Linked DNA regions of Lepisosteus oculatus. The protein of the gene in region 1 interacts with the protein of each later gene in a pairwise test. Links are inferred from orthologs where the notes say so. Each region holds a gene or a part of one and is shown on either strand. Other genes may lie near its edges.

Region 1 (10,258 bases):
TAATAAGTTAATCTCATTCATCTCAATCAGAAAAGACTACAAATGTTGCCTGATTCGTGTTTCTTTGACAAAGGACACAAACCAGGGAACCGAGTTGGAAACGAGAGGGAAATGATACGTATAATTCAGGAGAGGAGAGGAGGCTCTTCGCTCCCCCAGAGGGTTGTTTAGTATGCAGCCTGCCCTGTCTGTGTTGCATGAGGAGAAAACACTCCGCAGTCCGGACTACAACTCCTGTGTTCTCACATGCTATAGGCTGTTGTGGCCACCAGGTGTCTCCATCACACCCATTATGTAGTTTGCTGAGCATTTTTCTCTCTGTGCAACAGTTTTCATGAAACACAAGTATAAGTAATCAAAGAACAGGCACAGAAACAAATATAAGCATTCCAATAATTGTATAAACAAATGGCTTGTTTTAGATTCTGTGTTGTTTTATGAATCTAAAATGAGGCTCAATGAACAAATGTAACAAGTTCACCACCAAGGACGTTGCATAATCCAAAATTTCAATTTCATAATCCCGGCTCTGATTTCCTCTTTCTTACACCACAGAAAACGGAATTTAAATGATTTATGTGGACGTTTTAGACGAGCATAGAATTCAACATAGAGACACTTGGAAAACAAGTTTAAAAGTTTTGAAGACCAGTTTGAACATTGTACACTTAGTTAAAGTGTTCGCTGACGGCTGTTTGAAAGCTAATGTGTCTATCAGCAGGTAAAACAACTTGTTGATGGCGCAGGCAGGTAGCCGGATTATGGATTTGGTATTGTTTCCAGGTGTTTTTACATAATGCCCTCTCATTACAAACTCACTTTTTTGTGCAAACAAGAAATCCTGTGAGCACTAGATTGGTAAATCTTCATCATTTACCTGACCCTTTTCTTCTCAGCTTCCTACTCACTCGTAACAATGAGGTTTTTTGACACTAATGCACTCCAAGGTATCTAATTAACTTGGGGTAGTTATACAGCATTCTGGTGCTTAATGGATTTAATCAAAGATACAGACTTCAGAAATAAAGTAAAATATGTAATTTACTTTACTAGGGGTTTAAAAATCAAATACAAAGAGTTCAGGAATTGTGCTTTTTTTCAAGGTGATACTTGCTTATCATTAAAACGTTCACTGACAATCTTTTGATGATTTATGTGAAATATTTAATCAGCACCTAAATGCCAGCAGCTATGTCACCCTGTCACTCCCAGCTGGAAGCCCACTGGAGCTCAGCAGGTGTGAGCCTGGTCAGTACCTGGATGAGAGACTCCTGGGAAAAACTAAGGCTGCTGCTGGAAGAGGTGTTAGTGGGGCCAGCAGGGGGTGCTCACCCTGTGGTCTGTGTGGGTCTTAATGCCCCAGTATACTGATAGGGACATTATAGTTATTATTTACCAGCGGTACACCTCGAGAAAGTATGCCAGAACCATTAAAAGTATACTAAAAGAAAGTATTATGTCTTCTTTATAGCAAACAATTCACAGTTATGTAATGATCACTGGCCATTAGAGATCTGTTACTATAATAATTTTCATAAATAATTTTATATAAAGCCATTATCTTCTTATACTTCTATTTAGCAATTATTCAGCATCCTTCTAGACCTGTTCCTTTACCACTGTCTTACATACTTCTTATTGTTGTTGTTCAGCTGACATTGTATTTTTCCCCAAAGGGATTTACATTCACACAGAGGATGTCTGTCTTCCACAGAGCCCTGCCCACAGCCCCTAACATACCAGCTACCAAACACTCGTCTAGCTGGCCTCGATTTCTGCTTTGGGATCTCCTCCCTACTCTGTGTTGAGCTTGCAGGATTCCAGGGGCACAGTAAGCCTTCCCTCTCTCGCTGCAGCCTTGTGGGATAGGTGTGCACGTTGCCCACAGAGAGCGAGCTCCTGCGTCTCGAGGAGAATCAGCCAAGGAACAGAGAACACAGAAGACTCAGGAGGGCAGCAGACACAAAGGACACAGGGCTGAGAGGTCTGGCCCTCCCTCAGACACTTTGCTGCTCCACAAGAGAGACCAGGGTGGCATCCAGTCTGAGTGGAAAGGCCGTATTCTCTTACTTACACGTTACTGTTGCCCTGGAAGAGGTGTTAGTGGGGGCAGCAGGGGGCCCTCACCCTGTGGTCCATGTGGGTCCTAATGCCCCAGTATAGTGATGGGGACACTATACTGTAAACAGGTGCCGTCCTTCGGATGAGATGTAAAACTGAGGTCCTGACTCTCTGTGGTCTTTAAAATCCCAGGGTGTTTCTCGAAAAGAGTAGGGGTGTAACCCCGGTGTCCTGGCAAAATTTCCCATTGGCCCTTACCAATCATGGCCTCCTAATAATCCCCCTCTATGAATTGGTTACATTACTCTGCTCTCCTCCCCACTGATATCTGATGTGTGGTGAGCCTTCTGGCGCACTATGGCTGCCGTCACATCATCCAGGTGGGGCTGCACACTGGTGGTGGTGGAGGGGATCCCCATTACCTGTAAAGCGCTTTGAGTGGAGTGTCCAGAAAAGCGCTATATAAGTGTAAGCAATTATTATAATTAGTATTATTACTGTAGTAGTTTGTTTTACCCAGTTTCTATTTGAATAATGAAAGCATACACTTTGACTCATCTTCGTGCACTGCATTCTGAACCCTGGTGAAAGGCAAACGTATATAAAGGACCACAAATATAAATTGCGTTTCTAGTCAACAAGTAATCTAACAGGTTTTCAGTTGCTGTTGTTTTAATCACGTTGCTGTTAAAAGAGGCACGAAGACACTGCGTGTCAGAGCCTTTGGGGTGTCCTCACAGTTAGATGCTAAAGGGGGAACCCCCAGTGATCCCGAGGTGAACCCCACTAGCACACAGCCCTGCCATTCAAGACATCTTTATTTTCATTTTTGGAAAATTACACTTTTCTTAGTTTCTCAGACTTGTTCCAGAAGTACAACATTGAAGAAAAATATGACACGACATGGCTGCAGCGAGAGAGACAGTCCGAACAAAGTCAAACCCACAGATGCCCCTGGACAATGTCTTGCACACTTGGCCAACTGGGGATGGACAAACCATTCAATTACAGGACCAGGGCAAGCTGGAGGTGTTAAGGAAGAGGAGATGGGATTTTGTTTTCCTTCAGTTCCCACCTGTTTTCTTACACTGTGTATCTGTGTGCAGAATGTTTATACTTTATTATTGTCTGGGGTGAGCTGGAATGAGCCGAATGCATTTCTAACTCAATCCTATCTCATGAGAGAGAGGGACCTTCGTCTGCACTAAAACAATTAATGATGGCTCAGCAGTAATGATGCTTCAATATTAAACGCGCAGGAACTCTTATAAAAGCCTCAATAGAATCCTTGGTGTGATAAAGGTCTGTACTTTATCACACCAAGGACTGCACCTCCATAGCAGGGGTTTCTGGACTTTCTCACAAAGTGGAAATTAAAATGATGAAAATGAATAAACTCGAGCAGCAGGTATAATTTGACGCACATGGGCGGCCAGTTGTGAGTAGCAGGGTGATATAGCTGCCTGCTACAGGCTACAGGACAGCTAGAATCATTTTAAATAAATGGGACAGCAGTCTCATTAAAACAAGGTTCACATTACAGGACTCGGTCTCCAAGGCTGGCCAGGACAAGGTCCTCTCACATGAGACAGGCTTCAAGGAAGAGAAGGGAGATGTTTTTTTCTCACTGTTTCTTTCCTATCTTCCTTGGTTTCCTCTGGTTTTGATATTCTGTGTTTCTGTGCGCACAATGTTATCCTTTATTATAATTCACCGGAGTAATTCACCAGAAAACCCCCTTCTGATCATCTGTGTTTTTGCTGCCTGTAACCTGATCTACAGCTCTGCAAATATATCAAATTAAACCCATAAAATTTTCTCCATAATGTATGAGATTCAATAAAGATAAAGCCAAACTTTGAGATTATATGTTTGAAACATAAGGTATTCAACGCGATACTTTATCGCTAAGAATGAGTACTCTTTTGAAGTATTTACTCGGAATGGAATTATGACCCCAGATGAACACTAGATGTCGTACTCTCACCGTAGCAAACTACACTGACCCACACTGAGTTTCCTTCTGCTGGTTTACCGGTGTGATTTAACAGAACCCATTCAACAAAGCCGTATCCCGAAGAATTCCATAGAAGACCTACTAGAACAAGTACAAGCATTTTGAAATAAATTGTTATAACAAGACTCAGATATGCATCGCAGAGCTAATGGACCAACTAGCAGCGCCATATTACCTAGCATGCACTGTGCATAGGGCCTATGATAATTTAACGATCACGATATGAAATATAACGATAACGAGCCTAGGATAAAATCGATGTCCACATTTTAAGATATTTCTATAATATAAACTGTAACATAGATATTTTTGAATATATCCCATACACAGCGACGATGGGCCATCTGAAACAAATCATTCAACATAATTTTGATCACGTATCTAATCTGAGACATCAGAACTCCTATAAATACTCCTCCACCTAATCCAGGGACTGTGAAAGAGAAGTGCCCAGCATCTACAAGGTTCTTTCTTAATCCAGCTCTGCAAACGAGTAAAATCCCCAGGACAGTGTGCCACGTGTAGGTGTTCTCCTTCACAGGAGGCGTTAGACGAAGGTCCTATTTGCTCGCTAAAGACCCCTTGTCCGTGAACTTGTCCTTGTCTGTAGGAGCAGAGCTAAATTCCGACTCCGGGTTTGTACTATGTGCCCTCCTTGAAATTCTCATTAATTCACCTGGCGATGTCCTTTCTCCGCTTGCATCCAACACTAGGTGGCGCTGCACTTCACTGCTGGGGGACGTGGATCCTGTCTGTGGAGCATAAAAGGGGAAAAACAACTATTCTTTTGAGAACGTGGCTGCGTCACCATGCGTAGGCTGCAAAGGGACACAGGTAAAGGTCTGTTCCCTGCTGAAAGCTAAAGAAAAGAAGCACAACGTTTTAGCCGTGTTCCTTCGTTTTGCTTTCCCTTTCAGCAAGAACCGAACCAGTATCTGTTCCGAAATATTGTTAGACCTGAGACAGGCTAGTATCCACTGCTTCGAAATGTACCAAATTGATTTTAACAACAAAATGGCATTACAATACTTAGGCTTCGCAATCAAACACTAACTACAGTAACTAAAAACCGTCATCTGTGATGCAACTGCTCAACACTGCAGCTCTGTGAACGTTTCTATAACAGCTTTGCGTGCAACAGGTACACAACAGGCACAAGTGCTTTGCGCACTTTTATTTGCCACAAGGTGGCGCTGCATAGCGCTTTCCCTGCTGCTGCTTCCTGACGAACCGGCGAGCAGCGCCGTGTAGTTTTCCCTCACAGTGCGGCGGCAGAAACTGCTGATCGGGAGAAAGCTGCAGTGGATTTAAAAAGTATGAAAGTCAGAGATGTTGTATTTATGTGGAGCGGACGATTTAATACGCTTAAGAAAAAAAAACGATCTGATGTTTTAAACTCCATTAGTTTGCTCCAAACTGTGCATCCAAACAATGCTGCAATAGGTCACGCATCGCCGCTCCGCTGCGAACTCGCAGCGTTCACGCCACACAGCTAAACAGACAGGCAGCTCTGCGAAAGGGCTGATCGCGGTGTTGCTGTTGTTTGTTTGTTTGTTTGTGTGTTTAACCGGGTGTTGCATGTCTAAAAACCAGGGCTCGGCCAGGCGCGAGCCGCCGGCGCGGGGCGCGCACGCGGGCTGGCCGGGCGGCTCGCGATCAGCTGTTCCAGTCAGCTGGCGCGGGGCCAGGTGTCAGCGGAGCCACGCCCCCTCGCTCGCGGGAGGCGGAAGGAGCTGGGAAGGAGGGATGGGAGGGGGAGCGCGGCGCATGCGCGGTGGGGTTGTTTTTCACCAAATCCTCGCTTTTAAGTGAGGGGAACCGGAGCAGCAGCTCGTCTTTGTACAGAGACCACGGAGAGGAGGAGGTGCGCGATAACAGCATCGAGTGCTGTTATTTAGCCTACCAGCATCTCAATGAACGGCTGGCGAGGGAAGCACTGATCCTGCCTGCAGCTCTTGCACGGCAAAGGCGTCGATCAGTGTGTTTGTTTGTTTGTGTGTGTGTGTGCGTGCTTTGCTACGATCACTTTTTTTTTTAATTTGGTCGTGGCTGTCTGCTCAGACCTTATTTTTTTTATGTGTTCTTAACAAAAAAAACAAAACAAAAAAAAAAACCCGAAACCATGGTGCTAGGCAAGGTGAAGAGTTTCACAGTCAGCTACGACTGCCTGAATGACAGCGCCGTGGCCGTGTTCTCCAGCGGGGACTCGGTCTCGGGGAGAGTCGTCATTGAAGTCACCGGGGAGATCCGGGTCAAGTCCCTGAAAATCCACGCGAAAGGATTTGCAAAAGTTCGCTGGACCGAGTCGAGGAACGCCGGGTCCAACACGGCGTACACGCAGAACTACACCGAGGAAGTGGAGTACTTGAACCACAGGGACATCCTGATCGGACACGAGAGAGGTAAGGGGGAACGCGCCGCTTCTGCCTTTTCTTTTTAAGGACTCTGGGGGGTGGAAATGTCACGTTTCCGTGAGCTGCCCTGTCCTCTGAAGACCGTGATCCCGGGGCTGTCATGGTAGTTGCACCGAAATTCTGCCCTTGGCTAGAGAGAGACGCTCGGCTGAATGCCCCCCATATCCCAGTAGTTCATTCATTCCGGCCCCAGGAGTGCAAGATCGATTTGCACGTCCTCCTTCGTCGAATATTGTGTGTAAAATGAGCGTCTCCCCTCTCCCTCAAGTGAGCGTTGGAGGTCCTGGACCTCTCGAGTGGGTTAGCGAACTTCTCGAGTGGGCTGCAGGTTAGGTCAGGCAAGGCAGTGTGAGTGAAAAGAGAAACCGAATCGCCTCCACGGAGCTCTGAATACACTAGGTAGTTTTGCCAGTCGGGGTCCGGTTTTTAAAATGCAGTCGCTGTTAATACTGACAGGAAATATCTGAAGGAATTTCAGGCTGGGATGTGTAGTTGGAAGAAGATGCCCGTTCATCTTTCGGACAGTGAGAGGTTGCGAGTACTTCACACACCACGAAAGACAATTAACTGCTTACTTGTCGTTGTTTTTTTTTAATGTACTGTGTGTGTATATATAGATTTTTTTTTTTTAAAAGTAGTTCATTTTAGACCAGAACTCGTGTCGACTCTCGGGACAGCAGGAGTCAATGCGGTAAACGTGAAATTTGGTAAAAAGAAATTAGAAACGGCTCACGGCGCCGCGTCCTTGGACGTATGCGGGAACCCGGGGTTATGCCCGGGCTCTTTGGGTTTTAAATCTTTGTTACATTTGGCTTTTTTTCCCCCAAAAAAGATGATTTCCTTAAGTTTCCACCCTTTGTTAAAAGCGGTTCAATCCTGTTCAGAAACTGGTTGCTGGGGAGGAGGGGGGGGGCAGCGGGCTCTGCCGTTCTCGCCCCCCGATTGGCTGGGCGCGGTCACGTGTGCGGCGATGACCTCATGCCTTTGCAGGGCTGAGCGAGCGCATCCCCACCTGTCTTTTCCTGGCGCACGTCTGGGTTCAGCTCCCATTCCCCAACCCCCGGTTCCTCCACGGCTGCCCCAGGAGTCGACCCCCGGTTTGCGCTCTCTTGTATGCCGGAGGCGGAAGGGGGGCCGGGGGACGGAGATTTCCCCATCGGCAGTTTAAGGGGCGCAGGCAGTGCCAGTCGTTGAATCGCAGTTTCTGGGAACTTGCGAGCACGCAGACCCCCGGAGTTGGAGCCAGGCTCCTGGCGGTCCGGTGGTCTGTGTCGTTTTAATCCGCAGCGGCATGGGCGACAAAAACTAAACTCCCTTAAGCGCCGTCTCCATTTCTAAAACACACAAATTAAACACACGACACTTTGGCTATTTCCTCTGGAAGGGCAGCTGTAGCGGTTGGCGAACCGCCGCGCGTACACACTTTGATTTTTGTATGTTTATTTTATTTATTTTGCTGTGTTTACACCGCCGTCGCGGTGCGCAGAAAGCTCAGAAAGTTTTCGGCAGGTTTGGACACTTGGGGTTGGTGCGCTCGGGCCGGCTGGGCTGGCCCCGCCCCCGCCGGGCGCCCATTGGCCGAGCCGGGTTTGTTAGTCCTGTTGCCAAGGCAGTGCTGGAGCCTGATTGGACTAGAAGTTATCAGCTGCGCGGCGGACTGACACGTGATTTCCATGCTTGTTCCGACCAGACTCTTCTACAGCCGGGTCTGGTCGCTTTTCTCACCCTTTTCTAAACTGTAATGCGCTTCAGTCCGGAGGACAGGCACCGGACAAGCCTGTTCCAGCTCTTTCTTTTGGGATGTGACTGTACTTATTGTGTGTTTTGTACACTGATGTAAGACGCGAAACGCTTATGTTGTGGGAGCAGCACCGCAGTGGTGCCCCTTCCTGGCATGTATCTCATCTGTATGATCTCAATGTGAACCTTGGTTGGTTGTTTTTTTGTATATTTATACCTTTCTGCTGCTTTAGGGGAAGAAAAAAGCTGTCTCCCCCCCCCTTGTGTAAAAAAAACAAACAAACCCGCCGCTAACAAAATAAAAGCGAGATGAATTCTAACTTGTTCCGCCTCCTGCGTCTTTATTTGCTATTGTGCATTTTCTCTGTGGTGTGGTGTGTGTGTGGGGGGGGGGAGGTCTCTTGATTTTCTCACCTGGAGGGGTCTGTTACGGAGGCCGGCCGGGCGCTGGGGCGGCTGCAGTGCGCGGGGCGGCTCGGCAGGGGGCGCCGCGAGGGAGCGAGCAGCTTCGGTTTCTGCAGTGCGTGCGTGCGGGGGAGCTGCTCGCGCCGGTTTAGGCCGGTCCTCTCCTGCTCGAGTCTGTCTGTGATTGACAGCTCAGCACTTGTTTACCAGGACCGAGCTGCTGCTGCTGAGGCAGGGGCAGAGCGCTGGCGCTGAGCTGGCAGAATTGTAACTTTGGGGGAGAGGCGCCCGGTGTGTGTGTGTGTGTCTCTCACAAGCTGTGCATGCGTGCGTTTTAAAACGCAATTTAAAAAAAAAACCCGATAAAGCAATTGTTGGGAGTTGTCAAACTGTGCCAAACGCAAAAATGAGACGAAAGCAAAAACTAGTCTGTCTCTTGTTTTCGCGCAATCCTCTGAAATGGAAGAAGGGCAGTGGGTCTCCTTCAAGGAAGGGAGTTTGTTACAAATGCCACAACCCCCCCACCTCTTTCCCAGGCCGTGTCCGAATGAGCGGGCGCTCTGGTGGGGAGAGCACTGCGATGGGTCCTTTGTAGCGCCTCAGGAGTGTGTGTTGGGGGGTCGTTTGAAAGTGGTGTGTGAGCACTGACGGGGAGAGGGAATGCTGATGTTTTTCAGGAGGAGAATAAGGGGGAATTTGTTTGCCATGACTAGCCCCCTATCGCCTTTTCTTCATGCTCATGGGCGCGGGAGTGGAGCTGCTCTGCCTATGAGGGTGTTTATTGGAGACTAATAGAGATTCATTACCTTTGTTCTAGGAAACTGGTTTCAATGCAAATACACATCGAACCTTTTTTATGAGACTTGACTTCCTGTTTTTTTTATCTACATTTATAAATGTTTAACATATCCGGTTTCCAGAATTAATTGTGACCTGTGTAATTTTTATCCGTCTTTTGTTTCTGTTTTTTTGCAGTGATGTTTTAAAATGTTTCAATTCTGGTATTTTTCCTTACCTAGAAATGTGTTTTGAACTGTTTTTTATTTTTTTTTAATTTCCATACAGCGACCCTCATATCTGTTTCACAGGTATGGTATACGTGTATTTGGAATTTTGTTTTCCTTTGTTTCAGATGAGGACAACTCTGAAGAAAGTCTCACCACTATCCATTCAGGAAGACACGAGTATGCATTCAGCCTTGAGCTTCCACAAACGTGAGTCTACTTGAAAGATGTTTATTTGCTCTCCCAGACTTCATAGATTTTGAAGCTGTCAGTCTTTGTCTTCTGGAATAAAATAAAAACAAAGTTAGCCACCTAATGCAACTCTGAAACTTCCCAGTAAGAATATAAAACCGTTTCAGATGAGAGGAGGTCATGTGGCCTATGAGAGCAATGTGGTTAACTGTTTAATCAGTCCAGGGGTCTCATCCATCTGTTTCCTGAAAGAATCCTTCAGACTAAAGAGACTCAGTTCCTCCGGCCTGTCAGTTTTGGACACTCCCTTCAGACTAAAGAGACTCAGTTCCTCCGGCCTGTCAGTTTTGGACACTCCCTTCAGACTAAAGAGACTCAGTTCCTCCGGCCTGTCAGTTTTGGACACTCCCTTCAGACTAAAGAGA
Region 2 (10,399 bases), about 52 Mb from region 1:
CCAGAGCATCGGATTACACAGGGTGATTCAAAGATTCACAATGTACAGTTTGCATTGACATTGCACTAGGGCTCAGGTGGTTTGTATCTCTGAGGTAATTACTTGCTACTTTAGCTGTTTTACAAAAGTATTTTAAAGGAATGTGATTTTCTGTCCTCTTTTTCAATATTGAGGCAAAGTAATTTGATCCTTTGGCCCAATTGCTTATAAAATATTTGCGTTATTTTACAGTGTTTTTTTTATTTTCTGGTTACATTACAGCAACAGAAGCAGACTTTTTCCTGAAGGGACAAAAACGTAAAATCTGGTGAAAATGTTTTTTTTTTAGTGCTTTGTCTACCATGAAACTTAGTATCACATGCAAACATCAAAATGCTGTCAAACATATTTTGGTTGGATAGCAGTGGCTTCCTCTGGCAGAAGCTGACTACAACCAGAGATATCTCCAACAGGGCCTGGAGATGAATCTGGAATCAGCAGCCCAAGAGGAGTCACTAATGCCCTCCCAATATCAGCAGCTAATGTATGCAATACAGTACATGGAAAGAATCAGGCCTGCCTGAAAGGCTTCATGATATAGGGGCTCTTCAAAAGCAGATTCCGCACCTAGAAGAAGTAGTGCTCTAAAACCTCTTTTGATCGGGGCATGTTTCACTTTGACCATTTCTGTTGTGTAAAGAGCACTCTTGGTAATTAAACTTTGTGGGATGTTTTATAGGGCAGGGGGACCTCAAACTCACACCTGAATGTCACATCATTGATTGGAACTCCTGACTCCAATTACCCCCTTTTACACAAGTCATTATCCTAGAGGTTCACATTTATTTTTAGAGGTACACATACTTTTTTCCAGCATAGACAGCATGTTCAATATAGTCAAGGAAAAGTAAAGTTGTTTGTGTTATTTGTTTAATCAGGTAGGCATTATCTATTCATATGACTTATATGACTTACAGTAGCTCACATTGTATAAACACCTAATGGAGGAATACAAATGATTCCAAAGGGTTCACCCTCTGTTTGTTGATAGTAGGACCTCTGATAGTAGCAGAGAGAATGTGTTGGTTGACACTGCTTTCTTGTTAATTCTTTGAATTTATTATATTTGTACTGAATATTGTTTTTTATGGATCCATGGTCGACTTTGATATCACTAACGCAATTGCATAGGTTGGTTGCTTACATCACTAAGAGTGTGTTACAGATTTGGTCAGTGAAGTTCTTGTATTAGTGTAAAGTATGTCCTTGATACTTCTTCCCATTAAATATCTCTTTGAACTTTTAGTAGAGAGGTTTTCTTCTGGTGTCCATGTTAAGTTCTACTTTTCTCTTGCTTAGTTTGGCTTAATTATAATTTGCTCCTTTAATCAGCATTAATTTATTCCATCTCTGCGGGATCAGTTCTGTAGTGGGGCAGACGCTGCAGAGTTGGACTTCCATCACTCAGGTGCATGCTGCACGTCAGTGTTAGATAATGTTGGTCATACCCAGGTATATGTGATCCTCAGAAACTCTTCCAAATACCAGGAATAATATCCCTCACCCTTTGAAAGAGTGTGCCAGACAGGAATATATTTTCCACTAAATCGTCATCTTACACATTACATTAAAAAGACCTTTGGTGAGAAGAAATCAAGGTCATTATGAGATAATGAATGAAATTTAAAAAATGTGTGGAGACCATAAAACTGCAATAATGTATTTATTCTCTCTAATGCTACAGGTTAGCCCGCACAACCACAGGCTCCTCTTCGAGGTGTTTGATGAAAACAGGCTGGTAAGTTTTGTTTTGCATATAAAAGTTTGTGTAGAACTGCATGAAGATCACGGGCAGTATTTTCACCTACTGTACAATTCTACAGTGATGACAGCAATAAATGTTTTATTTACTGCAGTATATGTATTGCAGTCCACCCCATTATCACTTCCCTGAGCTCAAATGACAAGAAATATTGCTGCAATTGCCATAGAGATGGTAGAATATTTTATTGGTTCATAAATGTTTTTCTAGGGCAGATCTTGGGTGCTGGTTCAGATCCGGACCTGGTGCTATCTGCGTGAGCTTGTACAGTGTGTTCTCCCTGTGTTCGCATGGGCTTTTGCCAGGTGCTCCGGTTTCCTCCCACAGTGCAAAGACACACTTGTACTGTAGGTTAATTGGCTTCTTCTGGGAAAACTGGCCCAATTGTGATTGTGTGTGAGTCCAGGATGTACAGTATTCTGCCTTGCGCCCTTTGCATGCCAGGATAAACTCCGGCCCATCCTGCAAGCCTGTATTGGCTGAAGCGGTTAAAAGATGGATGGAAAAAGAAGAATAAAACTATTTCCTCATTGAGACAAAATGGAAGCAGGGCCTACAGTATATCAATATTGTAGGTGCCATGTTTCTGAGATATATAAGTACTTTTTTATCATAAATGTAATGTACCTGCTGGTTTAGCAAAATAATCTGGACAACTGTAAGCTTATTTAGAACTTATTTAGAAGTCATTAAAAAAAATAAAGTAACAAAAGGGGAGCTTGTCAAAAGGGGGCTAATTAAATTTTAAAGGCTGAGAAAAACAATATATTTTAATTTTGCCTGAGGTCTTTATTAGCAGTACTTTATAAATCAGTTTTTTTCTCAATTTTGTGTGATTTTATTTATATTTTATTTTATTTACATCAAATGTTTAAGCTAATTGCTTTTATTTTACACTTTCTGAAGTATCATCTTAATGTTAAACATATTAGTGATGTTACCATTAGAATCTTCATTTCATGTTAATTTTCAAATAGTGTACCAAGATGCAAGTTGGTATCACTGTAAATAATAACCTGTTATCCTATAATCATTCATATTTTCTTAATATTCTGATTGATTTTTTTTTTCAATTCGTTAATAGAGCAATTATTTCTAGTAAGTAACCTCACAATTCACCTTCTAAAATACTATTTCAGGAAAAAGCCCAATAACACCACACAAGCTTTCTTGACATTTATTATTTTTATCTTCCTTAAATGCGTTATGTGTTTTGATAATGACTAATTGATACATTAATGTTTAGGTTGGTTGTTGTAAATAGTTTCTTTTCCTCTTGATACGGAAGGGTTTGCATGGTATCCTACACACAATTACCTTGTTTTTTCCTTTGCAGAGTTCCCTTTTCATGTATTAACTTTGCAGATCTTTTCTATTTAATTTGTACTGCAATTTTGACTCATTCCTTAAAAAATGTTGTTGAAGGGACAGACTGATGTGATAACACAGAAGAGATGTGAATTTTAAACTAGCTATTAGACAAAAGCTGTTTCTAATTTTTTCTAGCTTTTTTTTCATGGTAACTTTCATTTTCACTTCATTGGAATACTGTATAGCTGCCTCGCTTATTTATGTTTTTTTATGTAAATTTCAGATTTTATAGTTTACAATGTAGTTTGATGAGTGTCATGAGAAAGGCCTTGTATGTTCGAGATTGGCTCCATTATTACACAACGGCCCTGATCTGGTGTTAATGATCTGAAAGCTAGTGAGACAGTTGCCTTCTATTCTCCTGGTGCCAGGATGGAGTTAAAGCTGTTTAGAAGTAGTGTTTAGTTTCTTTCGCCATCCAACCTGTGTCAAGTTTGATTTAACGCCTTCCATTTTGGAAACCTAAAAAAACAGAGGAAAGTTCTGTTAATTAAAAGATAATATAAGCATTTCAACCTCTTTTTAATTACCCAACATATTATTCCTTAAGTCTTGCAAAGCTTGTCAGGATAAATATGTGTACGTGATAACCTATTCTAGCACACTCTAAAAATAAAGCTTACAAAAGCCTCTGCTAGTGTAATTCCTTATCCTAAGACATGCGAGGTTTCAGGTAGTCTTCAAACACTAGGACTGTTTAATAAACAGGAAAGTATATTTGAAATAGGTATTTCACCCAAATTGACCATTAGAAAAAACATTCTCGTCTCTTTGTTGTTGTATCCTCAAGTTACAGGATGAAAGACTGTATGGTTGCCAAAACACTGGCTATTCTCTACAGAAATATGTGGAAACTGATTTTAATGCCTATGTGATTTTAAATCAAAGATGTTGTACAGTGAAAAAAGTAGTTTTATAAAGGATGTCTGTATAGATTTATGCATTTCACGTTCTTTATTGATAGAAGTTGGTTGTGCAGATTGATAATTGATTGTGACTCGATCGTCAACACACTGGGATATGCTGAAGTCGGGCAAGAGAAACATTTAGGATCAGGAATCTTGGAGTGCCTTGATTTTACACCACAGCATATATTCTTATAAAACTTACCTTTTATAAATACAAGTTAATCACTTCATGCTTGTATTATATTGTTTTATGATATACCATTGTGGGATTTGGGGATTGATTAGTTGTCCTCAATTAAAATGGCCCAAAAATTATTAATCAGTTACTTGTTAACTTAAACAGCTACAGTATGTCATGTGATAAATCCCAAAAAGTTTATTTTAATTATAATATTAAAGATTCATAAGGTTGTTGGACTTCAATTATATTATTAAATATATTGCATTTGTAGAAATGGACAGAACATAAGAAAATAAGAACGTTTATACATAAGAGGCCATTCCCTAAGCTCATTCGCTCTGTTACTAGATAAATGATCCAAAGATCTCATCCTCTTGAAAGAAGCCAAGGTATTAACTTCAGTAACATAAAGTATCTGGGTAGCATGTTCCTGATTTGGTCCACAAACCTTTTTCTACAAAAAATGCCTCCTGTTCCCTGTAGTTTTGATCTGTTTCTACAGGTTCATGTTTCCATTTCAATTCTGTAAACCTCCATTGGGTTGAATTTGTCTTTTCCTTTGAGAATTTTGAACAGTTGAATCCTTTCCATTTGTTGTCTTCTTTGTCCAGATTCCTTATATATTAAGAAGACAACGGAAAATGGGATAATTGTTTAATGACAACTAATTACTTTGCTTTGCACACAAAATTGACGCCTAATGTCTCAGTGACTACTGTAAGTTACAGGCACACAGACAATGAGAGGAAAAATGATTAGAATACTCCAGCACACTGTTAAACCAAATACTGGGTTAACATTTTTTTAGTTCTGGTGCTACACCCTCTTTTTTAACAACTTTGAAAATGAGGCTTCTTGCTTATTTGTAAAAAAAGGAAAAGAGTAATAAACAAATTTGTACTGTAAGTAAAATCACATTAAAATGAAGACAAAAAGATTTTATTTCTGCAGGCTGCAAGCACCTGTATCCCTGAACTTTGTGCAGGTGCATGTTCATATGCTCTAAACTGCACTGACATGAACACAAAACAACATATTCAGTTGCACTGCTTACACAATGTTCCTTTTTATTCCATAAACTAACTGCTGACTTGCTAGCAACAACCTTTCGCGTTCTCTAAACAATCCATTCTGAGAGCTCCCATTAGAATGAATAACTGCATTCTTTCATTATGAGTTCTTCACGACACACCATAAGACGTTAGGCTGTCATCAACTCACTGTATTGTATTTTGCAAAGAAAGTCTTATACGCTAGGGTAACAGGCTATCTCAGCTGCTAATATACTGGCACTAAAAAAAAAGCTATCCTAATGATTGTCAGCTTTAAAAGACCAGATTGGAATCCTTTTAATTTCTAATGCAGCATTAATGATTTCTTGAAAAGTAATCACTCCTACAGTATAAGCCTATGCATTATAAAATTCTGGAAAGTAATTAATGTTTATGAGTTTGTGACCCATTTATTTTTATAATCCAAATTGGCACTCACCCTCTGTATTTTTTGATTGTTGACTGTACAAGTCCATACATCTACTCCCTGTTACTAGAATGTGAAACTTAATAATATAACTTTTTTAGAAACAAAATATAGTTGTAATACTATATTGTTGTTACAATGAATTCTGGCAAATATGTTACCAGATTGTGATCTGGTCATCTCAGATTTCACATTTCCTTTTTCAGAAAAAAAGTCTGTGTAAATTAGAAATGTTTTTGAAAACTCATTTTGTTTCTTTTTGTTTTATTTCATATAAAAGAATTGACTGAGATGTATTCATTTCAGTCTCGTACAATATGCCACATTTATTTCTGCCTGTAGATTAAAGCAACATATTGTAAAGTGCTGTACATATATGGCTGGTTAAAAGAAAATATCTTTCCTCAACTGTACATTTTGATGGTAAAAGGGAATATGTTTGTATTTTAAAGGCACTTTATTATTAGTTGTATTTTATTTATGTTTCACATCTGGGTTTATACTATATTTTAGTTTTGAATAGTTTTTAAGCTAATGATAATTGTACTGATGTCAAAAAGTGAACTTAAATTGAATTCCAAGATTGTGATATAAATGTTTTTTTTTTCTCTTAAACATTGAAGAAATGGTTACAGTTAGTACAATTTTACAATACTAGAACTCTACTGGTGTTTAAATCCCAGATACCACAGAAAAGCATGGTCCAGAACCCATCCAACGTCCCCTGCTTGTAGGATGTGGTTTTAAGATTTATAGCTGTGTTGAATTTGTGTTGCCTTACTCAGCTGTGAGCGCTCTCTCTCCCACTGGGGCCCTCTCCTTTCTGATGGATAAGGAGCAGCTGAGAAGGTGCTGTTTCAGTCTGGGACTGTTTAAAACCAGAGATGTACTGGCAAGTATTGGTGAGGGGAACTGCATCACGTGACCACAGCCATCCTACCCCATGTCACAGTGTGTAGGAGCGCCGAGTGCCCTTATCCAATCATGCCTGGAATGCTGCTTGTCACTTGGGCTATTTCTGCTATCTGTCGCTATCAGCCTGCAGTGCTAACAGTTTGGCAGATGGGACACTTTTTTTTTTTCCTCTGGAGTTTGCAGCTTTGAGTTTTTAACTCCCTGGCAGTGCCTCTCTTGTTATTGTGGCGTGAACTCCTTCTGCTTTGCTCCCTTCACTGAGGGAAGAGAGAGAGAAACTGAATCAGACAAAGGGAGAGAGAGGCTCAACATGGCCCACCGACTGAGGCTTTACTTTGGCTCCGGGCGTAGCAACACAGCCCCTGAGATGGAGGAGCTGGAGGGGGCAACAGAAGACGACATTGCCATGACATTCCACACACTGCCTCGCAGGAGAGGCTTACCTCTTTTCTCCGATCCTGAAAGCTCCTTGTCCGGAGAAACCTTCCTGAAACGTAGCTCCTCTATGTTCATCCCTCAGCTTTCAAACCCGATAGATCCTCGGCCCACAAAAAGCTCATCAATGCAGATCTCCTTGCAGCGCATCCCTGGAAATGGAGAAGAAGAAGAGTCTCCTACTCCTAGTCCCGAGTCTTTCCTGGGCCCAGCTCCAGCCTACAGGGAGCCCAACAGGAAATATTCCTTGCCTACAGACATGCCCAGAAACAATGAAGCTTCACCATGGACTCCAGCATTTGGGAACCTGTCTGGTGATCCCAGTTCACGCAATCGTAGGGTGTTTTGTATGTTGCCTGAAGAATGCCAAAATGGCCACAGCAGTCCAGGAGTGATGAATGAAGATCTACCCAGTGGAATTAATTTTGGTGGTTTCTGCATTCAGAGGAATTCTACTGGGGGCTCAGAGTTTCAAATGCTGCCTTGTGGAGCCCAGGGGCAGAATGGTCCCCACCGCCGCTGGTCTGTCCACCAGGATTCTAATGGCACCCTGGGCAAGCAACGTTTCATAGTTCAGCTCCAGCCAAATCAAGCTGGCATCCCCAAGGGCTCGCGGACAGAGGGGGCAGATCTGGGGTTCACGGGCACCAAGGGAGAGCGGGTGGTGAGGTATCCCCGAATAAGACTGGAGAGGAGCACCTCGCAACCGGTGCAGCCCAGAGCTGTCACCCCACTACTTCAGAGTAGTGCTGGAGATGGGCAGGACACTCCAGGAAGAAACCAGGACCCTGAGGGCCAGAGTAGGAATGTGGATGATGCTTTGCAAGGTTGCACCTTTAAAATCAGACAGGAACAAAACAACAGGCAGCCCCAGTTTAAGATCTATTTTACCCGAGGAGGAGAAGAGCAGAATCAGAGTTCACCACAGGATATAAACTCTGGAAATAGGCAAACAAGGATTAGCTCCCAGGTAATGTGCTGTGCTGTGTGCTACTACTGTATATAATTTAGTATTGTTAATTTTACTGTTATTGGTACTGATTATATTGTTTGCATTTATACTGATAAATATAAGTTGAAACAGCTGTTCCTGCTGGCAGGAATTTCATTAGGAAAAATGGGTAGGTTTTAAGATTAACTAACAACCTTCTTCTGGAAAGTGCATCCACTGTTTATCTATACCTTGCAAATGAAAAACCGAAGGGTTAGAAGAAGCAGCTTTCAGAGCTTGGAAATGAGAGTGGATTTATTCTAGAAATTGCTTTAGGAGAGAAGCCTGTGAGTAAGGCAGACTGACCTTTATTACTCCCCCGGAGGACTTTAAACGTTTACGTACATAAATGTTTTTTCACTTAAGAAAAATGTAAAATCCATAGGTATGTACAGTATTTGAGTGTATGAGCATTCATCCATCCTTTTCAGTCTATTTTTACAAGTGAGTTTCATGGCCTGTATGAACAGAGACTTATAACAAACAATATTTATAGTTATGCATGATTTATTGGTTACTAGATAGAAATTTTTAAGCATTTAGATAAGTATATGAACAAATAAGTATTGCTTTTGCATTTCACTCTGGTTCTATTTTTTAAATTATTTTGTTGTTGTTGTTGTTGTTTTCTGAGACTGCCAGAGTTTCCTGGCTGGACTTAGTCTAATTAATTGTTACGGGTAGGGTCATTAGCGTATGAGCTGTAGGGTTACGTTACATCCGACAAGACTGTTTTTAAAAGCCATTTCTTTTAAAGGGGCCATCTTCATATTTTTACAGTATCTCTGTAATCTTTTTGTGATAAAAACTACTTTCTGAAGGAAGTTACGCTCTATTACAAATGACCACGTTTTTTAGTAAGTCATATAATAGCTCTATATGCATGTATTAAATCTATTAACAGCTAATCAGTCTTAAAAAATAAGAGTTCTGTAAAATCCTTAATCCGCATCATTCAAAGTCATTGGATCCTTAATGGAGAAAATGTTAGTGAAGTGCAAGCACTCTCTTCGCCCTAACTGTCCATAGGATTCACTGTTACAATGAAATGAAATAAAAATGTGAAAGAACCTCAGTGTTTCTGTGGTTCTCCTGCAGTATCATATCTCTAGATTAAAAAGACCATTTTTTCTGCTGCATATAACACAGTTAAAACTATTAAGTTGCTATATTGAAACACTAACCTTTTTTATTAAACAAATATTCACTGTACATTAATAACATTGCAGAATCTATCCAGCATATCATCTGTGTCATGGTGGCGCCCGTAATGGTAATTAATTTCATGATTTTTTCTTAGAGATGGACAATTATTGACAAAGCTGAAGCTTAGCATCTGTGCGCTCATATTGCTCCTACAAATACTGTAGCTGGCAAAATACCTTTTGTTAATGTGCTATTTTAATTTTGTTGTTAACATCCATTTCATTATATAATGGGCTTTGTAACATTTTGAAAAAGTGACAGAAAGAAATGAGGAATATAGATTGCTTTGTTAGCTTAAGCATTATCAGTAATTAGATCTGGAGCACTAAGAGTCCCCCCTTTCTCTCATAACTGAAACGGGACATACAGTACAGTAACTGAAACAAAGATTTCTAAAGTGGTCTGCCTCCCTTTTTCACAAGTCTATAAAAACCATGTGGAGTATGGACATTTCAGTACCTTTTAAAGGATATTACTGGCGTGAAAACAAGAACAAGTCAAGTAGACTCCAACATACAGTTTGGAAGAAGTTTTATTATAGTGAAGCTTAACACGCACAGGATATAATACTTGGTTAATAAGACATACATTATAGGTTACATAAATGTACAGTATGAGCTACTAAAGAAGCCGAAATGACATTCCATCAGTGAAGTTTGTTATACCTTTAAATGCAGCCTTTTTAATAATTCATTTAAAACTGATTTGTTGACATGCAGCTCCATGAATAGAACATACTTAAATGTAGACATTTTAATGAGACACTTTTTCCCTCTTATAAAAACTGTTGTCTGCAATAATCCTAGTTCTATTAATTAATTGCTTTTCAGTTCTCTGTAATTATTAACATGGCCTTAGTAGCATCCCTAGGAAGAATTTTTTTCATTTTATTTTCAGATTTGTTTAAATATGTGGATGTGATTTCTTGCTCAGAATTTTCTATAAATATTTAAGGTGCAGTGGCCTCCATCATCTACAATTAAAAACAAACCTTGGGGATCAACATAAGTTATAATATTCTTATGAATAATGCCATAATTTCAGTTGGACACTGGCAGCTTTTACTATCATAAACAAAGATAATAGGGATTGTATTTATTAGAATCTAAGCA

What was found.
Region 2: the proteins of arrestin domain-containing protein 3 (region 1) and nedd4l interact in binary tests that used the Homo sapiens proteins (3 or more experiments, as listed by UniProt). The link is inferred for Lepisosteus oculatus from reciprocal best matches to the Homo sapiens genes ARRDC3 and NEDD4L.

Annotation. Positions count from the first base shown.
Region 1 is NC_090698.1:72,935,125-72,945,382, reverse strand, and holds the start of arrestin domain-containing protein 3, read left to right. Parts: upstream 1-5,897; 5' UTR 5,898-6,200; coding exon 6,201-6,480; intron 6,481-9,769; coding exon 9,770-9,851; intron 9,852-10,258. UniProt on the Homo sapiens protein: Adapter protein that plays a role in regulating cell-surface expression of adrenergic receptors and probably also other G protein-coupled receptors.
Region 2 is NC_090698.1:20,485,339-20,495,737, reverse strand, and holds the start of nedd4l (E3 ubiquitin-protein ligase NEDD4-like), read left to right. Parts: upstream 1-6,437; 5' UTR 6,438-6,965; coding exon 6,966-8,060; intron 8,061-10,399. UniProt on the Homo sapiens protein: E3 ubiquitin-protein ligase that mediates the polyubiquitination of lysine and cysteine residues on target proteins and is thereby implicated in the regulation of various signaling pathways including autophagy, innate immunity or DNA repair.